Linked DNA regions of Sus scrofa. The protein of the gene in region 1 interacts with the protein of each later gene in a pairwise test. Links are inferred from orthologs where the notes say so. Each region holds a gene or a part of one and is shown in the gene's direction. Other genes may lie near its edges.

What was found.
Region 2: the proteins of KPNA2 (region 1) and SERTAD3 interact in binary tests that used the Homo sapiens proteins (3 or more experiments, as listed by UniProt). The two-hybrid records come from large-scale screens. The link is inferred for Sus scrofa from reciprocal best matches to the Homo sapiens genes KPNA2 and SERTAD3.

The regions. Positions count from the first base shown.
Region 1 is NC_010454.4:14,290,990-14,298,537, forward strand, and holds the end of KPNA2 (importin subunit alpha-1), read left to right. Parts: intron 1-131; coding exon 132-400; intron 401-637; coding exon 638-732; intron 733-830; coding exon 831-1,094; intron 1,095-1,277; coding exon 1,278-1,511; intron 1,512-1,731; coding exon 1,732-1,914; intron 1,915-4,087; coding exon 4,088-4,237; intron 4,238-5,410; coding exon 5,411-5,503; 3' UTR 5,504-5,760; downstream 5,761-7,548.
Region 2 is NC_010448.4:48,708,348-48,715,849, reverse strand, and holds SERTAD3 (SERTA domain-containing protein 3), read left to right. Parts: upstream 1-3,099; 5' UTR 3,100-3,253; intron 3,254-5,540; 5' UTR 5,541-5,546; coding exon 5,547-6,140; 3' UTR 6,141-6,786; downstream 6,787-7,502. Other genes in the region: BLVRB (flavin reductase (NADPH)), read left to right, coding at 60-217.

The DNA.
Region 1 (7,548 bases):
AGCACTTAGTGCTTTACTGTAAAAGGTTGTCTAATGCTCTGAACTCCTGAGTTACATTTTAAATTGTTTTTCACTCAAACCTATTTTGTTAATTACCTTCATCTTTTGTTTCTCCTTTTATTTACCCTTAGGAAACTGCTTTCTAGGGAAAAACAGCCTCCCATAGACAACATAATCCGGGCTGGTTTGATTCCAAAATTTGTGTCCTTCCTGGGCAGAATGGATTGTAGTCCCATTCAGTTTGAGTCTGCTTGGGCCCTCACTAACATTGCCTCTGGAACATCAGAACAGACCAAGGCTGTTGTAGATGGAGGTGCTATCCCAGCATTCATTTCTCTGTTGGCATCTCCCCATGCTCACATCAGTGAACAAGCTGTGTGGGCTCTCGGAAACATCGCAGGTACTTGGATTTCAAGTTCTTTTGACTGAATGTCTCTAATACTGAGGTTGGTTGAAGTGCCTTTGAGTTAGGGATTGAACTTGCTTCCAGTGCTTATAAGAGGTAAAAGTGTCATTTATTTATTTTAGGAACTATCTGAGTGTTTCCTTGTATCAAGACACTGGTACTCAGTCAGTGAAATTGATGGTGCTAGACAAGTAGTTATGATTAACCTTGCCTTTTTAAATTTTTTTTAAGGGGATGGTTCCGTTTTCCGAGACTTGGTTATCAAGTACGGTGCGGTTGACCCGCTGTTGGCTCTTCTCGCGGTTCCTGATATGTCATCATTAGCAGTAAGTTACTTAACCATAAGTCAAGTTACTTGTTGATTCTGATTTTGCCCACCCCCTCAAAAAATGGAGAACTTCATTGCATTTTTCTTTTCCCCCAGTGTGGTTACTTACGTAATCTTACCTGGACACTTTCAAACCTTTGTCGCAACAAGAATCCTGCACCCCCCTTAGATGCTGTTGAGCAAATTCTTCCTACTTTAGTTCGTCTCCTACATCACGATGATCCAGAAGTTTTAGCAGATACCTGCTGGGCTATTTCCTACCTTACCGATGGTCCAAATGAACGGATTGAAATGGTTGTGAAGACAGGGGTCGTACCCCAACTTGTGAAGCTTTTAGGAGCCACTGAACTGCCGATTGTGGTAAGTTAATTTTCAAATGAGAAATAAAGTATGAAGAGCATAATCAGTCAGTACTAATATTGACATACTACCTATTTTAGGCCACAATGAGCCTCTTGTCCAGACTTTTAGGGTGTAGCGACTTCGAGCAGTGGTAGAAACGATGAAGGATAACCAGCAACATCAGCATTTTTCCCTTTCCAGACTCCTGCACTAAGAGCAATAGGAAACATTGTCACTGGCACAGATGAACAGACGCAGGTTGTCATAGATGCAGGAGCACTCGCCGTCTTTCCCAGCCTGCTAACAAACTCCAAAACAAATATTCAGAAGGAGGCTACGTGGACAATGTCAAATATTACAGCTGGTCGCCAGGACCAGATACAGCAAGTTGTAAATCATGGATTGGTCCCATTCCTTGTTGGCGTTCTCTCGAAGGTAAGAAGCCTTAGGCCTTCATAAAGGATTGCTTCCAGAGGCCACTTGGTAGAACTGTACTTCATAAGGTTCTTAATGTACTAATGTTAGGTCCTACTTATAGTCTTTTGCTAAATAATAGTCAGATGGTAGTTTTAGTCACTATTTTTCTAAAAGAGTACTTTTGGAATCTTATTTTTATGCCCATTCTGAAATACACCTGTTTTCTTGTGTTTATTAGGCAGACTTTAAGACACAAAAGGAAGCTGTATGGGCTGTGACCAATTACACAAGTGGTGGAACAGTTGAACAGATCGTGTACCTTGTCCACTGTGGCATAATAGAACCATTGATGAACCTCTTAACTGCAAAAGATACCAAAATTATCCTGGTTATTCTGGATGCCATTTCTAATATCTTTCAGGTAAGTTGCCTTTTTTTTTTTTTTGGCCACACCCTTGGCATGCAGAAATTCACAGGTCAGGGATCAAAGCTTAGCCTCAAAAGTGATGACACTAGAGGTTTGGTGGGTTTTTTTTGTTTTTTGGTCTTTTTTTAGGGCCGCACCGGTGGCATATGGAGGTTCTTAGGCTAGGGGTCGAATTGGAGCTGTAGCTGCCAGCCTCCATCACAGCTCATGGCAACGCCAGATCCTTAATCCACTGAGCGAGGCCAGGGATCAAACCTTTGTCCTCATGGATGTTAATCAGGTTCGTTTCCGCTGAGCCATGGTGGGAATTCCCTGGTTTACTATTTAGATGATGGCAAGGTGGGGGTGGAGGCAGCTAAATTTCCTGAGTGGGCCACAGAATCAGAAAGCCTCTTCATATGAGCCACACTCTTGATAAAATAAGACCTGGCAAGGATTATAAGAGATATAAAAGGAATGACAAATGCATGATGTGACTGAATTGAGGTCAGGTACATATGTGGACACGATTCATATCTGTTTATTTTGTCAAGATGTCTTAATCCCCCAGTTTTTGTTTTTTGGTTTTTTTTTTTGGTCTTTTGTCTTTTTAGGGCCGCACTGGCAGCATATGGAGGTTGCCACGCTGGGGGTCGAATCAGAGCTGTAGCCACTGGCCTACACCAGAGCCACAGCAACATCAGATCCAAGCTGCGTCTGCGACCTACAACACAGCTCACAGCAACGCCAGATCTTTAACCCACTGAGTGAGGCCAGGGATTGAACCCAAAACCTTATGGTTCCTAGTCAGATTTGTTTTCTGCTGTGCCATGACAGGAACTCCTGATTCCCCAATTTCATACTGTAATTCAGTATGAAATTAAATTTGACCAACCAGGAGTTCCTGTCGTGGCTTGGTGGTTAACGAATCCAACTGGGAACCACGAGGTTGCGGGTTTGATCCTTGGCTCGCTCAGTGGGCTAAGGATCCATCGTTGCCATGAACTGTGGTGTAGGTCACAGACGCGGCTCGGATCCTGCGTTGCTGTGGCTCTGGTGTAGGCTGGCGGCTACAGCTCCTATTAGACCCCTAGCCTGGGAATCTCCATATGCTGCAGGTGCAGCCCTAGAAAAGGCAAAAAGAAAAAAAAAAATTCGAACGACCCGGTCAGTTATATTTTTCTTCTGGTTTCAAGCCCTGAGTGATCCACATGTGCTGGCACATGGCACTTTGTCAGTATTTAATGGTGGTTAGGTCTTACTCAACAACTTTGATTATGGAAATTTTCACATATCAAAGTTGAGTTTAGAATATGATTACCTAACATAAATAAGTCGGCAACATTTGGCTTCTTTTCCTACTCACACTTACCTTAAGTTTTTATTTTGAAGCAAATACGTTATTTTACTTGTAAATATTTATGTATGTCCTAAAAGTTGAGGACTTTGAAAAGTATCTGACCACCGTACCATTCTCTTGGTATCAACAAATGATCCAGTCAGAGGAATTTGTTTTTACAAACCACAGGCCATCTTTACCCTTGGACAGTGATTCTCCACTCTTACTACATACACCTTGGGATTATCTGGAGTCTTTACAAAACAGTAATTTCCTATTCCCATCACAGGCCAACTGAACCTGGATATAGTGTCATTTTTAAAGTTGCCTGGGTGATTTTGATGTACAGAAAAGGTTAAGAACTATACTAAGATCTTTGTGGCTGAAAGCTACAGAAGTAGTTGCTAAGAAGCAAAATCTGATTCGCTTGAATTTTTCAAAAATATAAAACATAGGTAAAATGCAGATAGTTCTCTCTCATAGGGTTGTTAAATAAACTCACGTGTTTATTTCTGTCTGATACACATGGACACTAAAACATAGAAATTGTTTTCTTCATTAAAATAGAACTTTCAGGGAGTTCCCGTCATGGCACAGTGGAAATGAATCCAACTAGGAATCATGAGGTTTGGGGTTCGATCCCTGGCCTTGCTCAGTGGGTTAAGGATCTGGTGTTGCTGTGGCTGTGGTGTAGGCCGGCGGCTACAGCTCCATTAGACCCCTAGCCTGGGAACCTCCATGTGCTGCAGTTGCGGCCTTATAAAGACAAAAAGACCAAAAAAAAAAAAAAAAAAAAAAAAAAAAAAGGTCTTTCAAAGTGTAGGCTACTAAACTTGGAATTTTTTGCAGGCTGCTGAGAAACTAGGTGAAACTGAGAAACTTAGTATAATGATTGAAGAATGTGGAGGTCTGGACAAAATTGAAGCTCTCCAAAACCATGAAAATGAGTCTGTGTACAAAGCTTCATTAAACTTGATTGAGAAGTATTTCTCTGTGGAGGTGAGTAGCAATGTCAATAAGAACTGGAAAAATACACATTTAAGGTTAAGCCCATAAGATATTTTTCCTCATACTTTTTAGATGAGCGCTGTTCAGTATAGCAGTATATCATATCAGTCTCAAGTGGGGTATAACATACATATTTGTTCATCTCATGTTTGACTTGAAGATAATACCATCTTTTTAAACTGAGGTATTAAAAAGTCACCCATTTACTTTCAAATGAATAGCCTTAGAGAGCTTAGACTATCTTGAGAGTGAGTTTGTATAGACGTTAGAGAAGTGAGCCTCTGGCCTAATAAGCTGCCTTCTGAAGTGACAGGTTAAGAAAATCTCTGCTTTTCTGTTGCCGTAGTAGCATTTCTTAACCTGTTCATAACTTCCCTCCCAGGCACTCATGAGTTGGCAAGTTTCAGAGCTTTCCATCCACTCTTTCAGATATTGAAAATATGGCGCAGGATTACAAAAGACAAAACAAAGGGGGGAGTTCCCATCTTGGTGCAGTGGAAATGAATCCGACTAGGAACCATGAGGTTTCAGATTCAATCCCTGACCTCACCCAGTGGGTTAAGGATCTGGTGTTGCCGTGAGCTGTGGTGTAGGTCAGAGACGCAGCTCAGATCTGACATTGCTATGGCTCTGGCGTAGGCTGCTGGCAACAACTCCGATTAGACCTCTAGCCTGGGAACCTCCATATGCCGAGGGTGCAGCCCTAAAAAGACAAGAGACGGAAAAAAAAAAAGATACAATGCAGGATTAAAGGTGAAATATGCAAATGAGGACCTTAGGAGTGAATACCTAGTAGGTATTTATGCTAAGTGAAATGAGTTAGACAAATACCACCAGGTGATCTCTCTTATATGTGTGATGTTAAAAACACACACACGGAGTTCCCCTGTGGCTAAGCAGGTTAAGGATCCTCTATTGGTGCTTCTGTGGTGCAGGTTCTATCCCTGGCCCAGGAACTTCCAAATGCTGCAGTCATTGCCATGGCCAAAAAGAAACATGCACACAAGAACAGATTTGTGGTTGCCAAAAGTGGGGGTGGGAGACATGGGTAAACTGGTTTTCGTTTTCAGCTTAGAGATAAAAGAAGAAAAAAGAGTAAATACAAACTTGTAGGCATCTGCCTCTTAGAAACATTTTATATTGTTTTGTTTTTAAATACTCCAGGAAGAGGAAGATCAAAATGTTGTGCCAGAAACTACCTCTGAAGGATATACATTCCAAGTTCAGGACAGCGCTACTGGGACCTTCAACTTTTAGACTGCACATCTGAGGCATAAAGTTGTTTGTTGCGTACTATGTTTGATAAAAGTTGGTCTTACTGTTTCTCTACTAAGAGCTCTTTTTAAATGTGGTTTGTTATTGTAGCACTTTTTACAACTGAAACTATACTTGAACAGTTCCAAACTGTACATACTGTATGAAGCTTCTACTCTCAGTAGGGTTCTTATTTCTATGTGGAATTTCATATCTTGCAGTGTCCTGTAAATAAAGATTAAATTCCACCCTTTTCTTTACTTTGCATTTCCTATGTGTTGCTTTCTAGTTTGGGGCTCCTAAAGGTTATAGATGAGGGGGAACTGAACCATGACTACCAAAGATGTTCTGGTTGCAGACATCATTTTGTCATGTCATCAAGGATATGGGCTTGATAACTTCCTGCCCACTTTTGATTCTGCTTTGTTTTTTTTTTATGGAACGCTTCACGAATTTGCGTGTCATCCTTGCGCAGGGGCCATGCTAATCTCTGTATCTTTCCCATTTTAGTATATGTGCTGCCGAAGCGAGCACTGATTGATTCTGCTTTGTTCTAAACTGCTTCCCCTTTTGGTTGGTAAAAATGGCCAATGGCGCTTTCAGACTTCACATCCATTTCACACCTATCAATTTTTTCAGAAGTTTTCACTGGAGAACGAGTAAAATTTCCCAGAAACCCTCAGCCAGTGTCTCCATAAGTCTTACTGGCCAGGAAGATGGGATAAAAATCTTAAATTTCATCTTCATTTTTTCCTGGAGCTACAAGTGCAATTCATTCCTCCCAAACTTCAAGGCTGAAAGTGGTTTCAAGGCTGCACGTTGGCATCACCTGGGAAAGTTTAGTCGGGAAGGAGTGGGATTCAAGTCCTGTAGGTTCTGTTTTTTAATTTCATCCCTGTCTGTGCCGTCTGGGTTGCGAAAGCCACTTGCTGCTCGGAAGAGGTAGCTGTGCCATTAGCAGAAGTGGCAGGGGGAGGGTGGAGTATTGACTCCAGCGCCCCAGGAAACCAACTGCATTTTTAACGTACTGTAAGCCTCTGCTTTTTTGATGAGCGGAGAAGTGATGAGCCAAGTCTTCACTGCTCTGTTTCCCCCACAGAAGGTAAAAGCTGTGGTGGCAGAGGTGGGGATTTGGGCTGAAGACTCAAGGTGAAAGTAATTTATGACTGTAAGGGCTACTGTATTCAGAAAAATGAGAGAGTTCCTTCAAGTCAGTTGTACGATGCACTGAATTTCCACTTACCTCTCTCAGTGGGTGTAGTGGTAAGCGAACTTAGCCCAGTTCGTTCACAGACAAAAGTACATTTTGCTCTTTGTAGATAACAGGCTTTTAAAGTTCCTTCCACAAATAGTGCTCATCTTGTTTGTTTACAGAAATAGAGAATATGTTGGCTAATGCTTGTTTAAAGCACCTCTCACAGCCAAGTTCCTAATGAACCCTGTTACAGGTGTTCCTCCTAGAAATTCGGGGCACCTTGTTTGGAGCGCTGGTCATTTTCTCGGCTTTTTCTGTACAAATGCTCTCATTAAGTGGAGGGAGGAGAGAAGTGACCGGACTAGATCTGCAGCCTGTCCGCCTTCCCCGCCTACCTTTGCTGGACTCCCCATTTCCCCTCTCTTTCCCCCCAAGGAAGTCCCTTGGTTGCTGGATCCAAAAGGCTTTAACTTGGGAAAAGCAAGAGTGGAAGCCATCCTGGATGTCCTAGATGTTTGTTTTAAGGTAGGTGGAGTTTTATGGCTTTAAAGGGGCTGGTGTGATAACATAATACACTTGGATCACAGTATAAGGTCTGGATTTGCTGGTGTAGAGGCACGACTGAAGTAACGGACAGGAGCCAGCTGATTTCCAAAAATACATTTTTATATTTTAGATAAAATTCGTAACATGCTAATTTCCTTGGAGTTAAAATTTAGACAGGCATTTGTTTTTATTAACTTTAACTGGATAAAATCTTATATCTTTGAGTTTTTATACTCAGCTAGGTTTGTTTGTTTTTTTTTTAATTTTTTTTTTTTTTTTTTGTCTTTTGTTGTTGTTGTTGCTATTT
Region 2 (7,502 bases), on another chromosome or scaffold:
TGCGCAGGGTGACGGGGGAGGACATCTGTTTACCTGGCCCCTCAATCTTTACCTTACAGGAGATCAGCCGCTGACCGGGGCCTACACGGTGACCCTGGATGGACGAGGGCCCTCTAGGGTCATCTCCAAACATGACCTGGGCCACTTCATGCTGCACTGCCTCACCACTGATGAGTACAACGGCCACAACACCTACCCCTCCCACGAGTACGAATAGGGCTCTGACCCCGTCCAGGAAGACAGCATCCTGTGGCTACAGCAAAGGATGGGAACAATAAATCTCAAGCTAAGAGCTTCAGTTTATTCAGGAGGACCCAATTCTATGTCTCTTCCTCTCCCTGGCTCTGTCAGGGTGTCTTCACTGTCCTGTCTGCCTCTGTGTAAGGTTTTCTAGGCAGGAGTTCCCATTATGGCTCAGCGGGTTAAGAACCCGACGAGTATCCATGAGGATGCAGGTTTGGTCCCTGGCCTTGCTCAGTGGGTTAAGGATCCAGCGTTGCTGCAAGCTGCAGTGCAGGTCTTGGATATGGTTTGGATCTGGCATTGCTGGCTGTGGCGTAGGCCAGTAGCTACAGCTCCTTAGCTTAGGAGCCTCCATGTGTTGTGTGTTTGGCCCTAAAAAGACCAAAAAAAAGAGAAAAAAGATTTTCTGGGCATTCATCCATTTGTTTCCTCACCTGGCCCTGTGCTGGGGAACCAGTGAAGACAGTGGGGACCCTGTCTTCATGGATCTCACTGTCCAACGTGGAAGACAGCCCTGCCCCTGACAGTGACAACACAGAGTGAGTGGCCAGGGCTCTGATGGAGGAAGCAGAGAGAGCCGAGGGACCCAGCTTGAGGAAGGTTCTGTGGAAGATGAGCTGTCCCACCTGAAACCTGGTTTAGTGAGAATGAGCCAAGGGAAGGTTCTAAGGCGTGATGGCGTTCCAGGCAGAAGAGGCCACATGAGCACATGGCCCCTTTGAAGAACTAAAGCCCATCCCCTACAGTTAATACTTTGGTCAGAGGGGAGGAGCGATCAACCCCAAGAGGCTGTTCTATGGTGCTAAACCGGCCAGGGTCCTTGTAAAAGTTTGAGCTTTAGTCTAAGTTTTTATGCAAAGAGTGGAGCAAGGGAGAGGTGGGGAGGGGGGATCACACTCAGGTTTGTTTGCTTGTTTAGGGCCGCACCCACGGCATATGGAAGGTCCCAGGCTACGGGCTGAGCCCAAGCTGCAGCTGCCATCCTACACCACAGCCACAGCAAAGCCAGATCCTTCACCCACTGAGCAAGAGGCCAGGGATTGAACCTACATCCTCATGGATACTAGTTGGGTTCATTACTGGTGAGCCGCACGACAGGAACTCCGGGTTTGTGTTTTATGAAGCTTCCCTGGGCTACTGTGTGCGGGTGGATGGGAGGGTGCAGAAGTAGAGACTGGGAACCCAGAGGGTGTCCTGGGACCTTGAGGAAGAGAGGGAGAGTGGGCGGGAGCCTGAGTGGACAGTTGGGAGGGGAGGGAGGCACCAGAAGGAAACCTAGGACTGAATCCTGAAAGTGGGGTTGCAGTAGGGCCACCCTGAGACAGGAAGCCTGAAGGGGCTGATTCGGCACGGGGAGGGGAAGAACTGCCTCTTCCTAATCATGTCCCTTCTTGGAATCTACTCTCCCCCACCTTTGTCCCCCAGAGACACCTTTCCCAGGACTGAGCAAACCACTCCTCGCTTACCTAACCCCCAAAGCTCTCCCCCAACCCCAAATCCATTCCCATCCTATACTCTTCTCCACACAGCTGGACTACATGACTGACAAATTCCAACCGGCGAGGACTGGTCCAAAGAGCCTTAAACCTTCCTTCTCCGGAGCGGCCTGGAGAAAACTCTCTCCTCCCGTGGGCGGGAACGTGTTGTGGGGGTGGGGCAGGGCTGGTTCAGGCTTTCTGGGCACCGGCCGCACTCATTTCCTCCCGCTTTATTTCTTCTGTTACAGTGTCTGCATTTAACAAACTTTCTTTCACTGGGCGCCTGCCTTGTGTCCGGCCCTGTGCTAGGTGATGCTGGGGACCAAGCAGTGAGATAACATTGGTACGTGTCCCCAGGAGGCCCACAATCCAGTGACGGCCAGGGCCAAGGTCGGGGAGACTCAGGCAAAGGAGTCAGGGTCGCGATGAGGGAAGCACAGGACCCTGTGGGAGGCCAGAATGGGTCTGGACCATCCCTGGAGCCTCAGAACTGAGAGGAAAACTTTGAGAAGAGTTCTGACTCAAGAGGCAGCCTGGGAATTGAGGGCGTATTTTCAGGATGGGAAAAAGTTTCAAGATCCAGAGGTCTTTTTAAAAGTATCCTTGATTTTGACTTACAATGTTGTGCCAGAGGTCTTTTTTTTTCCCCCCTCATTTTCGAGAACTTGATACGAACCTGGCATTGTTGTAGGCACTGAAGATAAGGCAGGGAAGAAAACCGAATCTCTGTTCACGGCGGTGGAGCCATTTTAGAAAGAGTGAGTCAGTCGGTGCGGCAGGATTGTAGAGAGCAAGGGAGAGTGCATCAAGCCAGACCTGAAGGGCTTTAAGGCAAAAAAAAAAAAAAAAAAAAAAAGTAGTTTGGACTTTGTCCCCACGACAGTGGGGAGCCAAGAGCGAGTTTCCCGCAGCAGGGGTGCCATCCTGAGGGAGGAAGGGCTAAGATCTCCCAGGCAACACAGGCCGCACCAAACTATTGGCTGGCCTTCGGTGCGTCATCCTCCTCCTCCGCAGGGTCCGCCCTCCAAAGCTAGGGGCGCGGCCTTCGTGAGAGGCGCAGCGGGGTCCTCCCGGTAAGCGGGGTGGGGCCGGGCGTGCCTGTCAATCTTCCTCCGCGACTGGGTCCAGGCTTGGTATAAAGGGGTCGCAGAGAGCAATGAAGACGGTCTTGGAGCGAGGACAGTAGCCGAGTTGAAAGAAACAGTTTTGGTGCAACATCCACCCTAGAGAGGTGGCCCTGCCTCCCGGCAAGTCAGAATCCTTTAAAAGGTCCGCGGAGCGAAGGAGGGGAAGGCGGGTCCGGCGTCTCCAGGCGACAGGCGGTAGCTCCGCCTAGCCAATCCGCGCCCTGCGGTGGGCAGGACTCCAGCCAATCATGGTTCGCGGCTCGGCTCCGGGCGGAGCTGGGTGGGCCTGAGGCCAGACCGAGAGGCCCCGGGGTGGTGAGCGCGGCCCCTACCCAGCACTCGCAAAGGAGGGTCGCAAAGCCGCGGGCGTTCCCGGAGGTAGTTGTTGCGAACCTGGCAGTTGAGGTGAGGTGTGGCTGCCTGGCTTGGGATCCGCCTTGGGTTGAGGGAAGTGGAGGCGCTCCGGAGAGTTGTGGAGGCGGGGTATGGGTGGGAGTAGGGGGCGCAGGTTTGGAGAGACTGAGTTTCGAGATCCTGAAAGGAAGGCGAAGTTTTGGGGACAGGGTCTTCAAGTGGAGGGAGTCTGAAGCTGGGACACGGGGTGTTTGGGAAGCGAGAGAACTAGGGAAGGAACTTTTGGGGGCAGGAAATCTGAAGATTGGGATAATTCAGGTCTCCGGGACGAGTTAAAGTCGGGCACTACTGTTCAGGAAAAAGTTTGAGGCGTTGCGCTGTGATCCCGAGCATTTGGAGAAGCGAAAGAAATAGGGGCAAGGACTCGATCTCCTAGACGCAGTGGTGGAGAGGGGTCCTGGGGAGAGGAGAGTTCCCAGTCAGGTCTTGGAGCCGGAGGGGGAGTCGGAGATGAGGTTGAGAAGCATTTGAAAGACCGGAGAATAGGGGAAAGTTGACGGGGAGGGTCTCAAAATTCAGATACCTAGCGGCCCGAACAGAGCGCATCGGAGAGCATTTGTAAGTCTTTGAGCGATGTGTTGGGGCCTGGGTCTCTGGACCCGAGAGTAGTTTGATGGAAGAATTTGGGACTTTCTACGGTCCGCAGGACCGGTAGAAAGCAGTTTAGAATCGGAGTCGGGTGGGGGAGGGGTGTTTCGGGCGTGGAGCTCAGACCCGCAGCCCTGAAGGCAGCGGAGGGCGGGGCTCGGCGGGCGCCGGGCAGCTGGACGTCCGGGTTCCCTTCCCCCACCCACCACGGGCCGCTTTGCGCATGCCCTAAGGGAAGGCGGGGAAGGTGCGTCCCTGCGGCTTGCTGAGCCCTCCGGGGGTTGTAGTGCGCGTTCAACGTCAGTACGTGTACCTGGAGGCTATTGGCCCACATTTCCCATAAGCCCCAAGGACCAAGTTGGGGCGTGTCTGGGTTCCGAACTCGAACTTCGTCGAGGGGGCGGGGCCTGTAGAGAGCGGGGGCCTGGTTGGATGGGCTGGTCGGGGGCGGGGCTTGGCGTGAGTAATGTTCTGGCGAGTTTTCCTACCGGACTCATGCTGGAGAAACCTGAAGGCAACCACAGAGGGAGTGAGGGAGGTATTTTCACTGTTGTTGCGAGAGCTCCCAGTCAGGAAAAATATTTGTTCTCTGTAAAAGAAGAGTCTCCACAGATAGGTTCCCTATCAGGGTTCCAGGTGGCTAGAATATAGTAGACATTCAAAAAAAAAATTTTTTAAGTGATTGTGGACCTGTATTTTATTTTTTGTTTCATTTTGTTTTCAAATTAAAGAAATATATATATTTTTGTCTTTTCTAGGACCGCACCCGCGGCATGTGGAGGTTCCCAGGCTAGAGGTCTAATCCGAGCTATAGCCGCCGGCCTTCGCCACAGCCACGCCAGATCCAAGCCTTGTCTGCGACCTACACCACAGCTCAAGGCAATGCTGGATCCCTAACCCAATGAGCAAGGCCAGGGATCGAACCTGCAATCTCATGATTCCTAGTCGGATTCGTCGGGAACTCCTCAAATAAAAATATTGAATGAGGAATTCCCGTTGTGACTGGACGGTAAGGAACCCAGCTAGTATCCATGAGACTGGTGTTCAATCCCTGGCTTTGCTCAGTGGGTTAACGATCAGGCGTTTCCGTGAGCTGCGGTGTAGGTCACAGATGTGGCTAGGATCTGGCGTGGCTGTGGTGTAGGCCAGCAGCTGAAGCTCCGATTTTGACCTATAGCCTGGGAACTTCTATATGCCACAGGGTGCCGGCCTAAAAAGAAATTTTTTTTCAATAAATAACTGGCAATGAACTCTTGTTCATTGTGCGTGTAGTATCACTTCCCAAGATCTCACAGCTGAGCAGTGTGAAAGGCAGAAGTCAACCCTAGGAATCTCTACTTGCAGGCCAGGTGTCTGTACTCAGTATCTGTCTTGTGTGTGTCGTGTTTGAAAATAAGAGTATTGTGAAAGAACAGCCTTAAGACTCCAGAACTTGAATTAAGATTCCTTGTAGATGAGGAAATTGAGTCTCAAGGAAGTAAATTCACTACTGGAGGCCACATGGGCCAGTAAGTGGGATTCAAACCCAGCTGTGTCTTGCGTCCAGATCTTGTTTTGTTAATCACATACATATACTCTCTTCCTTAGCCTTGTGAGATTTATTTGGGCCATTAAAAATCAACAGCCATACAGGAGATTCAGGATTTGAACTAACCCTGCTGTGTCTCACTTGCCCCTCTTCTTACCACAGGGCATCATGGTAGGCTTGAAGAGGAAACACTCAGATTTGGAGGAGGAAGAAGAGGATGAGAAGTGGGACTGGAGTCCCACAGGCCTTCGGAGCTACCAGCAAGCCCTGCTCCGCATCTCCCTAGACAAAGTCCAGCGAAGCCTGGGCCCCCGAGCACCCAGCCTTCGAAGGCATGTCCTCATCCACAACACCCTCCAACAACTCCAAGCAGCGCTTTGCCTGACGCCTGCACCTGCCCTGCCCCCCGAGCCCCTCTTCCTGGGCGAGGAGGACTTCTCCCTGTCGACCACCATCGGCTCTATTCTCAGGGAGCTGGAGACCTCCATGGATGAGACTGAGCCCCCTCCCAATCCAGTGGCTCCCCCAGGTCCCCAGAATGAAGTATTGCCCCAGCCCGATCCGGTCTTCTTAGAAGCTCTGAGCTCCCGGTACCTAGGGGACTCCGGCCTGGATGACTTCTTCCTGGACATTGACACATCGGCAGTGGAGAAGGAGCCTGCACTGACCCCACCCGAGCCTCCTCACAACCTCTTCTGTGCCCCAGGTTCCTGGGAGTGGAATGAACTAGATCACATCATGGAAATCATTCTGGGATCCTAAAACTTTGATGGGGAGGGGGCGCTCCTTCCCCATCTCAGCCTTGGTGGGCTGAAATCCCTGGATGCAACTCTGTGTGTGTGTGTTTATATGGAGGCTTTAAGCAGTAACTGTGGCCTCCTTTGCTCCCATTTCAGGGTTCCACAAACTGTCTTGCATGTGTGTGTGTGTCTGGTTATCGCAGCCTTCTGTGAAGGTGGGTCTTCCTGAATTAATTTATCTGTTGCAAATGCCTTAATGAGACTCTGTTTCTGGGAGTCTGATTTCCCACGTCCACATTTCTTCTGCCTTTCCCTCCAGTTCCTACTCCCCTCGTGTCCCCTGGGGCCTCAGGGAAGATAAGCTGGGCCTGTCAAAGGATGACAGGGAGGTGCTGCCTGGTTGCTATGGAAACCCAGCTTCTGCCTCTTGCACCTCTAGGGAATGGGAGGGGCTGGCCTCCTCCCCAGGCTGAACCCCACCTCCTTCATAGGACCCCAGTCCCAGCAGCCTCCTGATTCATGACCAGGCCGGACCACGTGCAATAGGGTGGAAACCAAACTGCTCCATGCCGCATTATTTAATAGAAAGGCAGGTTTTGTGGTGGGTTTTTTTGTTTTGTTTTCTGATTGTAATTTTTTTTTTTTTAATAAAAGTATTTTGGAAGGGGTGGTGTTGCCTAAAGTTTCTAAACTTTAGTGGGTCAGTGGGAGGGACCTGGTAAGTTCCCTAGACTCCTGCATCTCTGCCCTGTCAGAGTTGGAGCAGGGATACGAAATAGATCCTGGAGTTCCCGTTGTGGCTCAGTGGTTAACAAATCTGACTAGGAACCATGAGGTTGCAGGTTTGATCCCTGGCCTGGCTCAGTGGGTTAAGGATCTGGAGTTGCCGTGAGCTGTGGCGTAGGTCGCACACGCGGCTTGGATCTGGTGTTGCTGTGGCTCTGGTGTAGGCGGGTGGCTACTGCTCCAATTCGACCCCTAGCCTGGGAACCTCCATATGCCACTGGGGAGTGGCTCAAGAAAAGGCAAAAAGACAAAAAAAAAAAAAAAAAAAAAAAAAAAGATCCTGTTGCCATGTTTTCCATGGGAGGAGCCTGAGGTGAGAGGCCAGGTCACTTGCTCAGGGTCGCATAGCTAGGAAGGAGCAAGGAACTAGAACTCAAGTTCAGTCTCCCTCCAGAGACTTCTTAACTATTGTATTTGTTGCTTCGTGATAGATTTAGACACCTCAGCCACATTGGTGGACACAGGAGGGCAAAACGGGCCCATGGGTTACATGTCAAAGGCTAGGGCTCTCTGACACTTAAAAGTCAACACTTTCATTGTAGAAAATGTGCTGCTGAGGCCCAGAGGAGAGAGAAATGCCCAGAGACCCCATGTTACT